2 linked regions of the Alligator mississippiensis genome follow. The protein of the gene in region 1 interacts with the protein of each later gene in a pairwise test. Links are inferred from orthologs where the notes say so. Each region holds a gene or a part of one and is shown on either strand. Other genes may lie near its edges.

Region 1 (10,604 bases):
GTTTGGGACTGAAATTCTGAGGGGTAGAGCCTAGAGACAACACGCATTAAACCTCGATGATCCTCTATCCACATGGAAGTCTCCTTAGACAAGGAGTTGGATTTTGCCCAAGAGAATCAGTTTGACCGAGTGCTGAGTAACAAAGCAATCAGGTGACTTTGTGGGGGATTTTACTCTCATCACAGCCAGATGGTGGGTGGTCAAGCCTAGTGGTTAGGTCCAGGATCAGGAACTGCAGTGCAAAGTCAGGAGTCAGGACAAAGTCACAGCCAGGGTCTGGAGCCAGTGGGCACCCCAAAATCCATGGTCAGAGAGGCAGAGTGGTGGGCAGGAACAAGCCAAGATGGAGATGTCCCACCAGGGTTGGTGTGCCAGGGTCAAGTGCAAGGCAGTAGGATCAGGGCAATTTGGAAGCTCACCAGGAGACGTCTTGTGCACACAGCTCATTTCTGTCCATCTCTCTCATTTTAAGCCTGGGTTTAGGGCAGGGTCACTCCCCACCAGCCCAGTAGTCAGAATAATGATCTGTACCCTGCTGGAACAGTGATTTGTTGCAACCTCAACATAACCTATTAGAGTGCCACTGATAAAGAGGACCGGAGAGTATAAAGGAAAGGATCTCTCACGTGGTGTGTATGCCTGCACATGCATGTGTGCATGCACTGGGAAGGAAGGAGTGCAGGCACATAGTCAAGAGACTTGTGTTTCAGAAGAGAATCCATGGGCAAGAGGACAGGAAGAGGACCTTGGAGTCCTTAAAAGACACTGCCCCAAATCCCCCAAAACACTGGCTCAGTGAGGAAACAGGCAGGGAAAGGTGTGCAGGCCTTTTTCTCTGGAGGTGCATGTCATGTGTACTACTTAAAGCAGAAAGCGCTTACTTTAGAATCCTTTTGGCAAAGTACCCGTGTGTAAATGTGCTTCAAGAAGCAAGTATTCCCTGAGAGGTGTAAGCAGTAAAGCAGAGTGCCCACAAGGTTGGAGGTCTGGGAAGTTACTGTGGTGTCTAGGGGTGAGCATGACCCTAGAAGCCTAGCACAGCTGGACCCCAGGGTCTCATCTCTCAAGCAGGGGTGCTTGAGGGAGAACCTGCCTCCTCCCAAAGCCCATGTAGTGACCTAAAGCCAAGCAAAGTGATGGGACTCTGGACACTTGAACGCACGCAGGCCCAAGCACAGCAGCCTGGCAAGTGTCCAGTGTGGGGGGCATCACCAGGGCTTTGACTGCAGGACACAGGCATCACAAGCCCATTGCTAAGAACCCCTCCCATCCCATGGGTGAAACTGGCCCCGTCTCCTTCAAACCTCCCAGTGCTTCCAAAATCCAGGCAGCTGCAATCCTGAGCAAGAAACAACAGGAAGAGCCTTGCATCTTTGCTAGCTTCTCTATGCAAAGGCCACCTGGACATGGGTCTTGTTAAACCGCATGAATCCTAGCCACTCCCTGTCTCTGCTCGCTGCCTGGCTTTTGTCACGCAAAGGAAAGCTGCCTCCTAGCTGGACACGCTGCACATGGGATGTACACATCTCAGATAATGTTTAGCACGCCCCATTAAGCAAATGCTCTGGGAGTACGTTTCGCCACCTGGCTTTGCTGCAGAAGTCACGTGGGAGAGGGATGCCTCCCTAGGCTGCAGAGCTGGTGCGTGATGAAGGCAGATCTGACGTGGTTTCCTGCCCAGCTGCTGCCGGTTGGCTTTCAGGGGCACAGCTAGAAGGAGCAAACCCATTTGGAAAGGAAAGAATGAGATTTGTGTTGACGTCAGCGCAAATCTTTTGTGCTCCAGCACTACTGAAGGCAGAGAGAGACATCGTGACACAAATGAAAATGTGCCCAGAGTGATACACCCACGTATGTAACAGCTCGTGTTGACACACTCAGAGTCACCTGCACAGAGATAGTGACACGCACAGAGACAGGCAGGCACAAAGATGCAGAAGGACATGGGCATCCACAAACACAAACAGAGGCAGGTGCAAAACCTGCTGACTTCAGCGGAGCTCCTTGTGTGTGTGAAGTTAGATGTCCTCTAAGTGTTTACAGGTCAAAAATTTTTATCAGGCTTGGATCTCTGTGTCGAACTGCTATTGTCTGCCTGCCTAATCAGCCTGTCTAATGCTGCATGGCCATGCTTCCAGCAGCAGGATGAGGCTCCACAGTGACTGTCCTTGTTGACTATAAAATGCCTGGCTATTGCTGAAGGCCAAGGGTGCAGAGTGTTATGCTGCCGCTTTTGGGCATATAGGTCTCATCTTAACAGAAACCATTTGTGTCCCTGCCTGGGCCTTGCACACTTCTGGAGACGTCCCGGCACCTCCTGGGCTGCCCCAGGCCTGTGTGGCGGAGCTGGGATCAGAACGTGCCTTTCCAGATGCTCTGTTTTGTGACTAATGGCTGAAAGCCCCCACTCCCTCCTCTGTGGGGGGAGGCTGCTGTCATGGGGTGACAACAGAGGCCCAGTTCTGCTCCCACTGGAGACCATAGCCGAACAACCTGGAAGGAGCAGGTTTTATGCGCATGTAGACATGCATGTTTATCGATCCTGCTCCGTGCAGGGGGTGGACTTAGCAGGCCCCTTCGAGGCCCGATTCTCTAGGATACTATGAGTAATGGCTGCCCGTACATAATGCATGAGGACTGATCTCTGTGATGGCTCTGATCTTTTCTCAGAAAGGAGAGTGGGAATCCCCTCATGAGCATTACACTCAGGAGTGCTTCCCCTTGCTCTAATTACCCTTTCACATAAATGTCACAACAGAAATCGGGAATTGCATTGATGTATCCGCCTGCCTCCGTAACCTTTTGTCTTCCTTTCCAATCCCACTTCTTTAAGAAGATGGAACAGCCTGTATAATATGGCAGCACTTGTCTGTGCTGTTACTGGGTGCAGACTGTGGAAATGATCAGTACTTGGTTACATTATTTCAGTGTTATTATAGTAGGTTGTTAAGTGGAGTTCATATACATATATTACAATATGCATAACATGTACCATCATTTATGCGGCTAAGAGAAATGCTACAAATATCAGATGTGTCACAATAGGCAGCAATTACCTTTGCACAACCTTCTGTAACAATTGCCCCTATAAGCTAATAAGTACAATGCAGTGACAACACTTTTCAGTGTTGCTAGTGTGGCCCTTGCTGCCAATTCATGACTAGAGAGAGACACAGGCTTTCCTCTAGAAAGGGGCTGCCCTGTCCTCCTCAGCATCTGAAAGTGAGCATCTGCTCACGACAGCTTGTGCTATATATGTCTACGTGCAGCTGTGTGTGTAGCCATCTCTGTGCACATGAGGCTGAGTGTTGGCATGTGTGTGTCAACACGAGTTATTACATGCATGTATGCATCACTCTGGGCACATCTTCATTTGTGTTATGATGTCTCTGTCTTCACTATCACTGAAGCACTAAAGATTTGGGCTGATGTCAACTCAAATCTTATATGGATGTTATTCATATTTAGGAGATGAATAACATCATAATATAGAAATTATTCATATTCATGAGATGTATATATAACAGGGCCCTTAGGGTGATATTTTGTAGGGACCTATCTCTCTCTCTCTCTCTCTCTCTATCTAGTAGGGACCAAAATATATATTTTGTAGGGACCTATCTATAGATATCTATATCTATCTTTCTATAGATATAGATATCTATAGATATATATATACGTACATATGTACATACATACATACAGACAGATAGATAGATAGATCTTATTAATATATATATATATATATATATATATATAGCAGGGACCTTAGGGTGATATCTTGCAGGGACCAAAATATATATATATATATACACACACAGACACACACATATACACATCTATATATATATATATATATATATATATATATATATATACACACACACATATATTTATCTATCTGTCTATAGACAAAAGATAGATATATCTATATATTCATGATATATATATATATAGATATATATAGATATATATCTCTCTATATATATATAGCAGGACCCTTAGGGAAATATTTTGTAGGGACTATGTAGCCGAGATAAAATTAGACATGCTTTCAAATGCAAGACATTCACATACACACACACCCACCCACACCCACACCCACACACATATGAATGTCTTGCATTTGAAAGCATCTAACTTTATCCCAGCTATGTAATTGGTCCCTACAAAATACCACCCTAAGGGCCCTGCTACACATTCAAATTAATGCTGGCTGGATACCAGCTATAGAGTTGTGACACATTTTCAAGCGCTCATTTTATAGCTGGTTGGCTCTTTTAATAGTCGGAGAATCATTTTTATCCAGCGAGAAGTACTTTGCCCGTGTGGCCGGTCTAAACTGATTGCATGACTGACCGGTTCACCGCGTGACGGTTTCTTCGGGCTCGTGCTAGAATCCCCGCGGAGGTCGCATCTCGTCCACACCCCGTGCAAACCGTCCCGTGTAATGCGTCATCTCAACTGTGCGCAGAACGGGGGTCACCCCCGACACGACACACGCCTCACACCCGAACCCGCCGCGGCAGGCGAGCATGCGACCTTACCGAGCGCCTCACGTGCGGCCTGTCTCGGACCAGCGACCGGCCCTCAGAAATCCTCGCCTGGCCGGCTTATCGCGTGGCGACGATGTGGCCCCCTAAACGAGCCGTGTGACGGACCAGCGAACAGCGCGATGTATGTGACGTGGCGCAGGGCCCTCAGAAATCCTCACCTGTCCGGTTCGATGACTTGACACGCGCAGCTGCTCTAAATGTATTGCACGACTGACCAATGAATTATGCGATGTATGTAATGTCTACCAGGGGCCTTCAAAATCCTCGCGGCGCTGGTTCATTGTGTGGCAATGACTTGGCACGTGTGGCCTAAATGTACCGTGTGACGGAGTGAGCGATGTATGTAACGTGTACCAGTCCCTCAGAATCCCAACCCCCCCCCCCGCGCTTAGGCACCGCGCGCAATTCCCCGCTCGCTGCGAGGCGGAGGCCCCGCCCCCTCCCCTCCCTGCGTGCGGCGCAGCGCGGGGCCGGCACTTTCCCCCCGCTCCCTGGGGCGGGGCGGGGCGGGGCGTGCCCGCGCATGCGCAGTGCGGCGGCGGGGCGCTGCGGCAGTTGGTGCGGGGCCGTTTCCTGGGCGCGCGGCGGGAGGTGAGTGCGGCGCGCGGAGGGGCCGTTGCCGGGGGGACGCGCCAGCCTCGGGGGACGCTCCCATTGGCCGGCCCGGAGGGGTGGGGCGGTTAGGGAGTTGCCCCCCTCCCGCCGGCGGGGGCTGGGGGCGCTGCGCGCGCCCCTGAGGGGCAGTGACGTGGCCCCCCAGCCCCTCGCACCCCCTGGCTCCACATGTCGCCACGCGCTGAGGGGGCTCGCGATGCCCCTCGCCGTGACCCCTCGCGTTCCTAACGGTCGCCCCCGGCTGGCAAAACGTCCCAGCTTCGAGCACCTCGGCGGCGGTGGTCACCCCGGGGTGCCGCGAGCGCCCTCAGGCTTCGCCGCATCGACCCAGACGGGAATCGGCGGTGCTTCGCAGCCCCCCACACGGGAAGGCGGGTCCGACGCGCTCCGGCGATGCGCCCCCGTCGAGTCCGGCATCTGTCTTTCCCGCGTTGTGCAGTCTCCGTTTCGGACGGCAAAACCGGAGATCTTCCACATCGTGGGGGCGCCCGCCGAACGCGGCGCGGGCGCTTCCCGAGGGGTGCCGTGCGTCTTCTCAGTGGCGCGGGCACTTCCCGAGGGGTGCTACACGTCTCCTTGGTGACGCGGGTGCTTCCCGAGGGGTGCTACACGTCTCCTCAGCGGCACGGACCCTTCCCGAGGCGTGCCACACGTCTCCTCGGCGGCACGGGCACTTCCCGAGGGGTGCCACGCGTCTCCTCAGCGGCGCAGGCACTTCCCGAGGGGTGCCACGCGTCTCCTCAGCGGCACGGGCGCGTCCTGAGGGGTGCCACGCGTCTCCTCGGCGGCACGGGCGCTTCCTGAGGGGTGCCACGCGTCTCCTCAGCGGCACGGGCACTTCCTGAGGGGTGCCACGTGTCTCCTCAGCAGCGCGGGCGCTTCCCGAGGGGTGCCACATGTCTCCTCAGGATTCCAGCAAGGTGCTCGAGGGGTGGCTGCTCTGGCATCGTCCTCGGTCCGTTCAGGGATTTTACTTGTGGGATGGGATTGTATTTTTTTTGGAAGGCTAGACGTATATGATATATAATAAACGTATATAACACGCGCTCTGGGAAGCTTGCTTGAACGCGACGGGCTCCGAGCGGCTGCGTAATAACAGCCCCTTCTTGCCCAACACAACTGCGCCCTGCGTGAACTGCGAATTAGATCCGGTCGCTGATTAAAATACACTTTATTGCCCTGCGCACCTGTTAGCCCAGGGAGAAGGAGCGTGGTGTCGCCGTGACAGAGGCCCGATCCATCGGATGGTTATGCCTACGAGTCATTTCCGTGACGGCGGGTTTGCACAGTTCAGACTCTATGTTTTGATTTTCACGTCATCTGTTCTCTCTTCTCTCCCCCTTCCCTCCCTGGTTTGTATAATGTCACTGACAGCCAAATTTTTTCAATGCCATATTACATCTGCACTGGCAACTGTCAGGAAAACTGTCCTCATCTTCTGCTTGAGCAGTTTCGCTCTGGAAATCCGAGATACAATACCATCCAAGTGGAGCCTGTATCAATTTAACAGTCATATTTTGGAGTAGAATTACACTTTAAAACACTCTGTTGTAACTGGTCCTTAGGTCAAAAGAGCTGTCAGAAGTTTGCCAGTTTCATTGCAACCGTTGGAATTTATTCCAGCATAAATGTGGTGTCGTGACACACTGCAGCTTTTATTCTGTCCAGTTCCTTACAGGCTAATGGTATTGCCAAAAGCTTGGTGGAATAAAATACAATTTCTGAGACAGATAAAAGACAGATGTTATGAGATCAAGATATGCATTGTCTTCTGAAGTTTGAAAGTAGCAAGTGTACCCATATATTTGCTTCTGTCGCGTTACTATTCTAAACGCTTCCTGGGGTGTGGATGTGCAAAGACTCAATTTGAGCAGGAATTTGTCAGACAGATTTTCAGCTTTTAAGCAGCCTTTAAAAACATTTTAAAAAATGCTTAAAGGATCAGTGTTTTGTCAGTTGTAGCTCCAAATTTAGGTTCAACTCAAACTTAAGTTTTGCAGAAATAAGTGTTTGATAACCTAAAACCCCTAGAAATAACCATTAGACTTTTTAATGACAAACAAAAAGCCCTCAATTTTTTATTTTTTTTTTAAAGAAACCAGCCCCTTGTGTTTGCAACTTGAGCACCACATCGTTATCTGAAAGCAATGACAGCAAACTTCTTAGAAAATATATACAACCAGTTAATTTTCTTTGCCCAAGATGAGAGGGTTTTTTCTGCATCTCCATCTGGATCGGTATTCATTCATGGAGAAGGAAATAAAAACTGATTCAAATAGGACATTTAGCTTGACTCCAAGCCTCTTAAAGAAGCAAATAACTTTTGTTCCTTTCATACTCTTCACTTGCAGTCCAGCAACAGTTCACTTGCCTCATCTCAAGAAGGGAACATGCAGGTTATCTAGTTGTAAATCTGGGCAAGGAAAGATTCAAAGGATTGGTTATAAATCAGGCTTGCTGTGCTCTGGAGTGAACTGAGTTGGAATCTGCAACCTTTGAGTTCAACAAGAGTGACACGGCCCTGCACAGGAAGAGGTGCAGGGGAGAAAGGTTGCCTGCTGGCAGCTCCTCCCTGAAGACAGGTGCTAGAGACAAAGGTAGAATCAAATAGATGACCTGCACAAGGAGCTAAATTACCCGCTGGTTCTGCAGCCTGGGAGTTGGGGAGCATGGCAGGACCTGGCTAATTTGATAGCATGGCACCTACATGGACTTGGCCATTTAAAATCCATTCTGTTCCGACCCAAACTAACATTGCCCTTTGGTAGATGTTTGGCCTCGTAGGAAGGAAATTAGTTCTTGCAGTCTAGGTTTGGGTGCAAAGTTTCACATGCAACTCATTCCCCAGTCTTAAGGTTTTTCTTCACTGCCAAAAAGGTGGAGAAAACAGCAAAAACAGTCTCCCCGCGCCTGAAGAAGGGCGTTTGTATCCAAAGGCTTGCAAAGATCAATTTTTCCAACTATTTAGTTGGTCTAGTAAAAGATATCACATCTACCCAAATAGCCTTGTCAGTAAAAACCAGGCACTATCGTGTTGCCGCAAGGTCAACTTGCTGAAGTAAACCCCATGCCCCCGCTTGGGGTTTACCCGAGTTCACCTCATGGTAAATGAGGTGCCTTGTCTTCTCTTCATTTTTACCCCAGGAGAGTTTATGTGCACTCGTTACCCTGAAGTAAAAACACAGGTTTCTAGCAGTGAAAATAATAATAGGGAGGGCAGGACTGGATGGCCTTGGAACTGAACTCCTGTCTCACTCTTGGAGGTGGTGACTCTATGTCAGGCCTGGTGCACATTAGTAAGTAAGTGGGGAGGGTGTCCCTTTGTGCTGTTTCTGTTCTTTCTCCAATTTACAGTTGTATCAAGAAAGCACAGAATGGATTAAAAAATGCTTGAATACCTGGCTACATTTAAAGTGGCCAAGGTATCCATCTTCGAAAGTTGACCTCCGCTGTCCAGGCATAGCTTATCCTTTGCACACCTCTAGAATAGGCATTTTCTTGAGATTATTCATCAGGATAAAAGGCCTCATCTATGTGACTGGGGAAACTCATACAGTGCATTGTGGCTGTGATCCAGGTATTAATGGTTTGTATATTTTTAATATTATGGGTCGTCATTCGTAAGGGTGATTCGTAAAATGTTAAGCTCTACTGTGCCCAAGCAAAGCACTCAGTGCAAATTTACTTTTCCTTTATTACTACAAGCAATAGAAAAATACAGAATGTACAACAACTTATGCGACATCTGGAAGCAAAATCCAATGTTGGTATTTCAGGGCGGCTGCCACAAGCTGTTGATAATCTCAACATGCCTAAATAAGAGTAACTGGTCTGTCCCAAACTTCCTACATGTGCAAAAAGGCCAGACAGGTGCTATGAAAAAGCATATGGCAGATTTGAGGGCTTCAGTGTTGAAGCTTAATTAAGGACAGTACATTTTGGGGCAACGATAACCTAACTCAGGTGCCAAGAAATTGAGATGGGCACCCAGTGAATTCTGCCTGCCTCTGAATCACACTAATCGCTGAATAGTTTTATTACTGGTGTGATATATAAAAGAAGGTATACATTAGATAAAGACAGCAATAGATTTGCTGTTATTTCCGTGATACTTAGCCCCCTGCTCAAACTTGTTTTTATACTGAATGGCTGTGTGCAAAGTAGAGTTTTTCACTTCTCTTGTACCTTTTTCAAATCTGGTACAGATAAATAGTAGCTAAAATTTTTACTGCTACCTTAATTTCTTTTGTTCAAAATTTCTTCTGCAGATTTCACCATTGCAATTGCTGATAAGTTACTCCCTTTATGGCAGTCTTGGTAGAGATACAAGTTGGGACAGGATATGGAAGATAAAAGCTTTTTTTCTCTTTGATTACACATATGACACCCTGTATACATACAAGTCAGTGTAATTTTAGGCTCCTGGTTTGCAGATTTTACCAGCCAAAAACAAACAAACCTTAAAGCAGTGAAGGTGAAACTGAAGGAGAATGGAGAAGGGCGGTATTGAGGAGTGACAGTTGCAGCAGTGATAGATCTGTAGGTGTGATATCGGTCATGTACATCTCGTTAGGTCCTCTTTCCATTTTTAAAGTGAACGTATGAACAGTGAAAATGGTATTTGTATCTTGGGGAGACGGCAGAGAGGGAAAGGCAAAGCTGTTGAGAATAAGCTTTGGGGAGTTCTGAACGGTTTCTTTCCAGAGCCAAAATGAAGTATGTTAGTAGGTCCTGGTGCGTAGGAGGCTTGTGCTGCCCCCAATTCTGTAGGTGAGCAGAGAATGTCAGCACCCAAAACTGCTACTCTGGCTCATTTCACCAGCCCACTGTTTAAATAGGAGATGGGGCCGGGGGCAGCACTTGCTCCATTTGTACCCTGCAGTGTCCTGAAGTCATTTCACAATCCATGGCTAATTTAGTTATTTAACCATAAGAGCAACATTTACAGCTGCCAGTTGTGTTTGGAACGTTTCCAACCAAAGGGGTTTTATGCTGAATTTATGCTTAGTAAGCAGATTACAGTTTAACCTCTTCTGGCACAGATGGCCTGGAGAAGACAGAGGCTCAGAATACTCTGAAATACTCTGATTTTTCATTGTTTGCTTACAAAAGCAGTAAGAGCATGCCCTTGGATTAACTGACTTTTGCCCAGGTCTTTGTACTCTAACATCTTGTGTAATGCGTGAGTATTTACCACATAGTGTTTCCCAAGGGCTTAGTGAGGTGGATCTTAGTTTAACACTAAAGTGAAGAGACTATAAAAAATTATTATATGTGGTAGTCATATCAAGGTAAGTGATGTAGCCAGTTCCATGAATTACTAACAGAAACAACTCCGTTTTTTATATATTAAGAGGTGTAGGTAAGTCTCTCCTGATGTCAGGATGTAATGAAATGCTGAATTGAATCTAGCTCAGGGGTGGGGAAGTATTT
Region 2 (9,304 bases), on another chromosome or scaffold:
TACAGTGCAGTTTTAAGATGGAGAGAAACTGACCTTTGACTCCAGGCATCACTTCTAATACTACCCTCCCCCCCCCCCCTTATAAATCCACATATGCACCTAGTGCTTCATAAATTCATAGAAAATTAGGGTTGGAAGTGAACTCAGGAGGCCATCTAGTCCAACCCTTTGCTCAAAGCAGGACCATCCCCAAGTAGTTCATCCCAGTCAAAGCTTTATCTAGCTGGATTTTGAAAACTTCCAAGAATGGCACTTCCAACACCTCTCTGGGTAACCTGTTCCAGTGTTTTACTACCCTCCAAGTGAGAAAATTCTTCCTAATATCTAACCTAAACTTCTCTTGCTGCAACTTGAGACCATTGCTCCTTGCTCTGTCATCTGCCACCACTGCGAACAGTTTAGCTCCATCCTCTTTTGAACCGCTCTTCAGGTAGTCGAAGGCTGCTATTAAGTCCCCTCTCAGTCTTCTCTTCTCTAAACTAAATAAGCCCAGTTCCCTCAGTCTTTCCTCATAAGTGACATGACTTATGAGGAAAGACTGAGGGAACTGCTGTGGTAAAGGATATGATTTCCAACCCTCCCCCCGCCCCAGCACTGAAATACTTAAAGGAGTATAACCCAATTATATTGGTGAAAAGGGGACTTGTATCAGTATATCAATTTAGTCCTGAAAATTTAGGGGAATAAACTAAACCAGTATAAGCACCTTTAACGAACAGAACTCTCCCTGTGGGATAATTATTTGTATTAGTGCATCTGTCACCTACAAGTGTGGGATTATACTCCTTTGTCTATCGGGGTATACTTAAAATAGTACAATTTCTGCACATAAATCAACTCAAAATTTTATCTTCGGCCCCTGTTAAAAGTTTTCATGGTTAAAGATTTTCTGCTGCTTGTTTCATTGCTAATTACAGCTTCAAAGAAGTCAGATGCTTGTGACTTAAGTTGGTTTATATAGATAAGTTTTTCATTAAGATTTGTTAATGATTGTAGAGGTATATGAGGTGGGGTTTGATAAACTTTCCTGTTATCAAACTTGCTGCAACTCTTCAGAGATGAGATTCTGCAATTGGCAGAGTTTGTCCTGTTGTCACTTAGTGAGGCCTAGAAAGCCTATATCCAGATTGGGAGCAGGACTTGTCTTTCTCCAGCAATACAAGTCCTTTTCTTTCACCAGCATACACTTTTCCATGTGCTATCCAGAAGGAAAGTAAAAAAAATCACTATCTTTAAAAGAAAGGCTATAGGAGATGCCACTTCCCAGTAGAAATTAATGGCATTGGATTTTGGGAAGGAAAGAGGTGTATTTGGCTAAAACTTGAGGATTGGTAGTGTTGGACTGATGTTATAGCTGTGGTAGTCCAGGAAATATGCAACAGGCAAGGTGGGTGATATAGTTCATTGTACCAACTACATGGTTGGGATAGGCTTAAACAAGCTTTTGAATGAAGAGCAGTGCATTGTATTTGAAAGCTTGTCTGTCCCAGCCTCTCCAATACTACTAATTATCACGTGTCAGCCAACAGCACAAAATTCCCCTGCCACATGAGAACTGAAAGCATGCAAAGAATTTGAGAGCAGTAGCCCTTTTGTATTAGTCCCACTAAGTCTCCCAACCAGCCTCATCAGGCCCTTTTGAATATCCCACCCTAGAAGCCCCACTCCAGTCAATCATAACAACTGAAATCTGTATTGCCAGTGCATCCTTTTTGTTACCACACTCCTTTCTGAGGTGACCTGTCAAATCCAGTCTTTACTGTATTTATAATATACACATCACCCTGGTATCTAAATATCATCTGAATAGTACTTATGTAGTACTTAGTACACCAGTTCTGTTCTCTTATGTTTTAATGTGGGTTTTCGGGCTGAATTTCAAAAGGGAGATTAGCACTTCACAAAGTGGTTTGATGCTTATGTGTACGTGGTTTCACAGACCTTTTTTGTTCTTGGAGTACCATCTTACAGTGCTTAGCATCTCTGCAAGAGAAATAAAAATAGCAAATATTAGGTAACCATTCTTCATTTTCTACACTTGAGTTAAATTATGTACATGTTTGTATTGTAAATTAATCTTGCTTATACAAGATTTTTTAGCCACAGGATTTTATTTCTGGTTATTCCCTTTCAAGGCAAAAGGTATTTTCACCAATACCTAGCTGCTGTCTAGCAGAAGGTACAGGCGTTTATAGCCTGTCTAGGCAGGAGAATCTGGCTGGATTATGAGATGAAAGGCAGCCAGGAAGACTCTTCAATGAAATGTTATTCTGATTTCAAAGCTGGCTTTTTTGTGGGGCCACTCTTACATTCAGTGACCAGCACAGCTAAGGCTTTGGATAAACACCCTGTGGTAATTCACACTCACTTTTTACACTGATGTAAACTATACTAGGCTCAGGAATAGACATATGTTCAGTTATCCCAGGGGTAACATAATAGGCAGCTAATACTGTGCCTTGCTACTTGACAGCAGTGAGAGGGTAATAAACTTTTGGCCTTTAGCAAATGGCCACCTCAACATGGATGTGGACAATTAAAACCTAAACTGGTATGAATTAATGCCAGCAGTTTTTTAACCCTTATTCTTCACAAGACTGGGCAACTTTACCCTAGTGAAGATGAACTGTGTTGTCTGCCATCCACTTCTTTACAGTGCTGCAATGCTGATAGCTTTGATGATGGACACATTTGTTTTGTAGCTTTCTGGGCACAAAACTAACAATTTGGTCTTTGTTCTTCTACTTTGTGTTACCAGTGACCTGAGAGAATCATCCACATTTATACTGTACCCAGTCCAAATTTATTTTCTAAGGTAGTAACAAAAACCTAGTAGGACAATGCAGCTTTGTAAAATTTCTTCTATAGGTTTTTGACATTCAATGTTTCATTAATCAAAATGACTAAGTGTTGTCAGAGAGAACCTGTTAATGTAGAAGCAGGCTTGCTACTAATTCTTGAAGGAAAGGTGCATCCATAGCTATTGAATTTGGGAGTGGAGTGAGGGGCACAGCCTCTGAATCGGATCTTCCTAGATCTTATGTACTAGTGATTGCAAGTGGGAGAAGAACAGGAGAAAACCCTGTTCATTCTTCCTTTCAGCATCCACTTTCTGCCACTGTGCGACAGGATATGGAGTAACATGGACTGACCCAGTAAATGGCAGTTCTTATGTATTTCTAGGCTGCGTCCACATGAGCGTGGATGTTTGGTTCCCCAGGGACAACTAGCACCTTGTGCCACCGCTAGTTGTCCCTGGGGGATGCATGTGCCCTCTGGCATGTGACAAGTTACCGGGTGGGGTAGGGGAGGCTGAGGCCAGCACTGGGCTGGCCCCAGCAGCCTTACCTGGGGTTCTGGGGGCCTCCTGGGGCTGCAGTAGTGGTGATCCTGCCACTCGGAGCCTGGCTGGCAGCTGGAGCATGACTCCAGCCAGCCATGCTCTAGTTTTGAGTGGCACGTGCTGCCCCCGGTGCACCTCTCTGCTTTTTTTTTGCGTGGGTTTTTTTGATCACTGGATATCCAAGGGTAAACCCCCACCCCCAGCGCTGCTCCTTTGCAGCATGGAGAACACCTGAATGTGCAATACATGGCACAACAGATGTGTCTGTGGCACCACATAGCACATGGCTGCATTCAGCTGGACGTGGCCCTAGAGGCCTTGTGGGGGAAGTTCTTATGAAGGGCAGGACAAGCAAGTTTGTTGCTGGAAAAAATTGCTATGCTTTTCATTCTGCAGACATACACACCCACCTTAATAAGGATCCTAGGCAGTGTATGCACATCTTGACGTAAGGAGTATGATAAATATAGACTGAGAGCTTCTAAAACACTAAGAGCTGAGGTTAGCCCAAGTTTATGCTTAAGGAAGTCTGAGGTAACTCAGTTGTGTCCCTGCACTGTTCACATCACTTGGTCTAAGACCTGAGGTTTGGCCGGGATGCATATAGGAAGGCACTAAGAGGGTTCAGTCCTCAGAGGTTGGGTTGAGGGATAGTTGCAAGTCAGATTTCAGATGTGAATTTTGACAACATAAGGGCTGTTTGGATTTATAGCACGCAGGGTAGATGTGCACCTTATAGACTAACTAGAGGAGATAATATATAATTATATATGTAATTATATATTACATATATAATTGTGTGTGCGTGCGTGTATAAATCTCCTTTGGGTTGTCTATAAAGTGCACATCTACCCTGCCTTTTACAAATCTATGTAATCTATATAGCTATATAAATGTGTGTATGTGTATATATATAAAATCTGCTTTGTGTATTTATGTGATTATAGATTAGATATACACACATAGTAGATTATATATACAAAGTAGATTATATATACACACTCATATATATAATCTATATAATAATAGTAATATATACATAAATAATCTATCATGTATATAGATTAAGTAATACATATTTATATATATGTATAACTATGTTGAAGAAAGTGTATGTGTATGCATATACAGCTGCATAACATGCATAGCCAAGCGTAGGTGGGTTGGAGTGTGTGTGTATGTGTGCATGCATGTGTGTGTGTGAACATGTTTGTGTGCATGTCAGTGTGCAAATGTGTGAACATGTGCACCCGTATGTGTTAATGTGTGCATGAATCTGTGAATGTATGTGTGAACGTGTGCATGAGAGTGTGAATGTGTGCATGTGTGTGCACAGGGGTGTGTCTATGTATGTGTATATCACAGTGTGTAAATGTGTGTTTGCGCGCGCATGTGCGTGTGTGTAATGTGTGAACGTGTGCATGAATGTGCGCACGTGTGTGTGTGTGTGTGTAGGTGTGCGCCTAGCCAAGCTTTGGCGGGCTGAAGTTCACTTCACGCCGTGCTGCGTCCCCTCCCTGCTCCACTTGGGAGGAGCGCAGGCGGGGCGGGGCGGGGCGGCCCGTACTCCCCGCTTGCGGACGTGCGGGGCTGGGGCGCCGCCTCCCCCCCAGTCCAGGCAGTCCCGCGGCCCCGGGCCGGCCGGTGGGGGCGGGGCGGGGCGGGGCGGGGCAGGGCTGCAGGTCTGGGCCTTGCCCGGCAGGGGGCGGCGCAGCGGGTGGCGGAGGAGCGGCGGTCGCATGCAACAGTGCCAGGCACCGGCGGGGGGAGCCGCGGCTGGGGCTAGAGACTCCCCCCGGCGCGCAGGAGGGAGCCCTCGGCGGGAGAGGTGAGTGCCCCGCTCTGCGGCCGCTGCGCGTCCCCAACTCCATCCCGGGGGCTCCAGCTGCGCTCCAACAGCTGTCAAACATGTGGAACAACCCCCGCGACCCCTCCGCGCAGAACAGACGCCCCCCCTCGCCTCGCTCTTCCCCTCTCCCCCTGCACTGGGGGCCTGCCCCGGCCAGTGGGTTTGTGCTCCCCTTTCCTTCCCCTCGGGCTGAGCAGGGGCTGGGAGCGGGGCGCGGGGGTTGCTGCTGGCTGTCCCCTGCCACGGGACAGTCCCAAGGAGCATCGGGGTCTCAGCGGTGGCAGGTGACAGAACAAGGAGCGATGGGTTCAAGCTGCAGCAAAGGAAGCATAGATTGGACCTTAGGAAAAGAATGTCTCACTAGGAGGCTGGTGAAGCACTGGGGCAGGTTACTCAGAGGTTGGGGAATCTCCATCCTTGGAGGCTTTAAAGACAAATGGCTGGGGTCCTGGTTTGAGCAGGGGGTTGAAGTCCGTACCTCCTGAGGTCCCTTCCAACCCTCATTTTCTATGATCCTATGTGCCTGCCCTGGAATATACTGCCACAGCCATGGGCAAGTGCCAAGGATGGGATGGATGGCTGGTTCCCTGCTGGGCTGGGGGAAGGCTATGAGGCAGCCATGGATGAGGGGAGCCATAAGGAAGGGCTGAGGGATCAGGTAGTGCCTCCCCCCTGCTACCGCTGCTGCCACCTTGGCAGTGTTCTGAGCAATGGGAAGTGCTGAAGTAGTTCTTGGAAGTACATTGAAATTCTGGGATGGAAAGGGTAATAGAAATGGGAAGTATTTTTGTTTCCTTCTAATTTTGTCCCAGATTCAGATTTTTTGACTGTCATAGAAAGAACTGAGTCTTGATAGCTTTGTCCATATCAGAAGTTTAGAGATGCGTGGTGGCATAAAGGGGACCACAATTAAATGCAGAGCAACAGGACTGTAGGAGGTAATATTACAGTTTTCTGACATTAACTGCCATACAATTGATGATGTTTCCAGGGAAATCATTTCATATTTAGGGTTAAAAGCTTTGTTTCTTGTATGGATAAGGAGTTCATCATTAGACTGAACAAACTAAACATTGCTAATCATTCCTGTAACTCTATTTTGGAAGTCTCAGAAAACTGCCTTGCATTAAGCACATCTAAGAGAAGGTTAAAGATTGACTTGATCAGTCTACAAAAAACTATGGGGAGAAAAAGACCTCTGATAGCAGAGGGCTTTTAACAAGGCAGAGGCATAACAGGATACAGGAGTTGGTTGCTGAGGCTATGCAAATTCAGATTTCAAAGTAGAGCACACATTTTTAACTGTACAGGTAACTGCCCATTAAAACAATCTGCCTCTACATGTAGTAGCTTGTCTGTCTTCTGGAGTTTTAAATAAAGACTGAGTACTCTTCTAAAAGAGATGCTATAGTTTAGCCACGAATTCTTGGTTTTGATACAGGAATCACATGTTGCAATTTTATGTCCATCGTTGTCCAAGGAGTCAGACTAGCCAGTCACTTTTGGGGCTTAAAATCTACTGATCTTTGTCCACAATGGTGGGTTTAAAAAAAATAATAAATATATTGATTATTTTGCATTTACAAATGAGTGACATACTTATAGTCATGATATCTTTGAACTAGCAGAAAATACAAGCAAATATAAAGATTGCAAAAACTCAGAATCTTGAGAAAGTTACAGTTTCTGTTCCAGCTCACATAATCCTGACTCACTTTGAAATAATAAAATAATTAAATGAACAGCTATCAGAACTGACCTAAGCCAGCATGGTACAAAAGCTAACAGTGAATACTTCACATATATAACTTCCTTTCAAAAAATAGGAAGGCAATTATTTTGCCTGATAGCCCAACAAAATATGAAAGAAAGAAAGACTGTTATCTGGAAATATAGTTAGTTTTTATAAAGTTAGTTATGTGTGACCTTGATTTCCCCCTGCCAATTTTTGTGGTTTACAATTTATAATTGCATTTTCCTGTGGTTTTAAAATGTCTTTGTTGCTGAGTGGAAAAACCCACACAAGTGATAAGGGAAAATGATTGATAGGGGAATCATTGAAATAATCTACACGTACTATCAAATCAAGGCAGCAAAAATATTTTTGTTTTTCTGATTCCTCAGTTACTTAGGCGTTACTTGTAACAACAGGTCTTAAATATTTTTCATAGAAAATGTGTTTTGTAAGTTGAAAGTAGTCTTTTTTTAAATGAAAATTAAGAGTTAATATTATGTACTCTGAAATGACCACAAGTCAGATTTTTCAGGCAATAAAATTCTCTCCATGGAAATGGGAAGTATCCATGTATCCCTCACTGAGGATGAACACTGAATTCCAAACAGGAAATGCAAACATAGGTCTTGTCTATACTATCTATTTTTTTTGCTTATTATTAATTGTGACTCAAGATAACCAGAGTGTTTGTAGAAGTTCATGTGAATATTTCTCTAAATGCCAGTTAAAGGGTGCATTAGCCTTTACAAATCCTTAGCTACCTTGAGACGATCGATAAGTCATTAACTCAACATTAACTTTGCCAGAACTAGTAGGCAAAAATACTTTACTTTTCATAGAAGTATTTCTCCAATGTAGCAAATCAGGAAAGGTGAAACTTCCCTAGTGTCCTCTTACCCCAGTGGTGCAGCTCAGACACCAAAAGACTTCTGGATAAGGGAAGGTCTGCTTCATTAATGTATGCAGGATTATACCTTGTTATTTTTGCCAAACCTTTGGCAGACACTGCTTTTTGGAGTTAAAAGTACAGCTGCAGTTCTGCATAGTTTAAGCAGAAGTCTAGTCCAGTGAAGATATAAGGACCACATCCTACTCTGCCTACTGGGTGCCTAAGTGGACTTAAGTACCCAGATGTGATCCTGTTCCACCCTGCTTGAATCCCTGAACAAGCAGTAATTCAAAAGGAAGGCGAGTCCTCCTCCTCTTTGCTGTTTATTTGAGACTCTAGCTTTTAGACTAAGATGACTATGTGGTAGAAAAGTAGATATGTTAATAGATTTCCAGGGACTTGAACAGGGTGGAATTCAGTTGTACATAAGCGTCTAATGGGTGGAGTACACTCTGGCCCTAGCTGGAGTCTAGCTAGAACCAGCATGTATATTGCCTGATGCATTATACATGAGGAAACATCAACATCATAAGCTGCATTTCAGCAAGGTACTTAAACATCTGCCTTATATTAAGAACAGGAATAGTTGAAATAATGAGACCACCCATGTGCCTGAAGTTAGTTTAGGTACTTTGCTAAACTGAGGCTAGACACCTACTTAACATTTTTTAAAACTTTAAATTGCTTTACTTAGGAAGAAATATTTGTCTAGGAAAATATTAATCTGAAGCATATTTACACATTTACTTCTGAATTTCCATTTTGTTGTTGTTGCTTTTCATATGTGGTCCTGGTTATTGCAGCCTCGTGCCTGGGTAGGTATTAGGATTAGGAAAAGCAGCATGCTTCTTAATGGATATTCTCCACGAAGAGTTAAGGTACTTTTCACCATTTTACTTTAAATGAATGGGAGCTGTGAGAGTGGAGTCCTTGTCTGCTTAGAGGATCTTAACCAAAATATCTAGGTACTGCACAGGTCTGAAATGACCAAAAAATCTTTTAAATCTGACTTCAAGGCTGCTTTGTCATATTTTTCCTCCAGATTCTGTTTGTGGTAAAGTTTAACTCTCTCCTGATTTTTTTTTTTCTGACAAAAAGGATAGAATCTGTTTGTCACAGATGCAATTTCCTTCAGAACCATGCACGTTTAGAGATCTGGATACCTTTTGTTAAGAAAGCAAAGATGGGGGGAATGAAAAGCAGAATCAAATATCACGTGGTTGTTCCTTGAGTGCAACAAATGGGCTCTGAGATCCAACATCCAAGGTGCTTGAGGTCTCTGAAATAGAAAATAACAGGTATTTGGGAAACTGATTTGTCTTACCTACTTAAGAGGAGGGGGGAAAGGAGGTAAGGAGGATAGGAAAGATTTTGTTACATTAGATATTACCTGTTTAAGACTCTTTTTCTGTTCATATAAAACATGACCACAAACATAAACACACTGTAAAAAAGGGGAAAAAACCAAAACAACCATACTTTCTACTG

Evidence for each region.
Region 2: the proteins of NT5C2 (region 1) and MOB3B interact in binary tests that used the Homo sapiens proteins (3 or more experiments, as listed by UniProt). The two-hybrid records come from large-scale screens. The link is inferred for Alligator mississippiensis from reciprocal best matches to the Homo sapiens genes NT5C2 and MOB3B.

Annotation. Positions count from the first base shown.
Region 1 is NC_081829.1:98,821,954-98,832,557, forward strand, and holds the start of NT5C2 (cytosolic purine 5'-nucleotidase), read left to right. Parts: upstream 1-5,071; 5' UTR 5,072-5,079; coding exon 5,080-5,147; intron 5,148-10,604. UniProt on the Homo sapiens protein: Broad specificity cytosolic 5'-nucleotidase that catalyzes the dephosphorylation of 6-hydroxypurine nucleoside 5'-monophosphates.
Region 2 is NC_081826.1:171,266,255-171,275,558, forward strand, and holds the start of MOB3B (MOB kinase activator 3B), read left to right. Parts: upstream 1-5,039; 5' UTR 5,040-5,171; intron 5,172-9,304. UniProt on the Homo sapiens protein: Modulates LATS1 expression in the Hippo signaling pathway which plays a pivotal role in organ size control and tumor suppression by restricting proliferation and promoting apoptosis.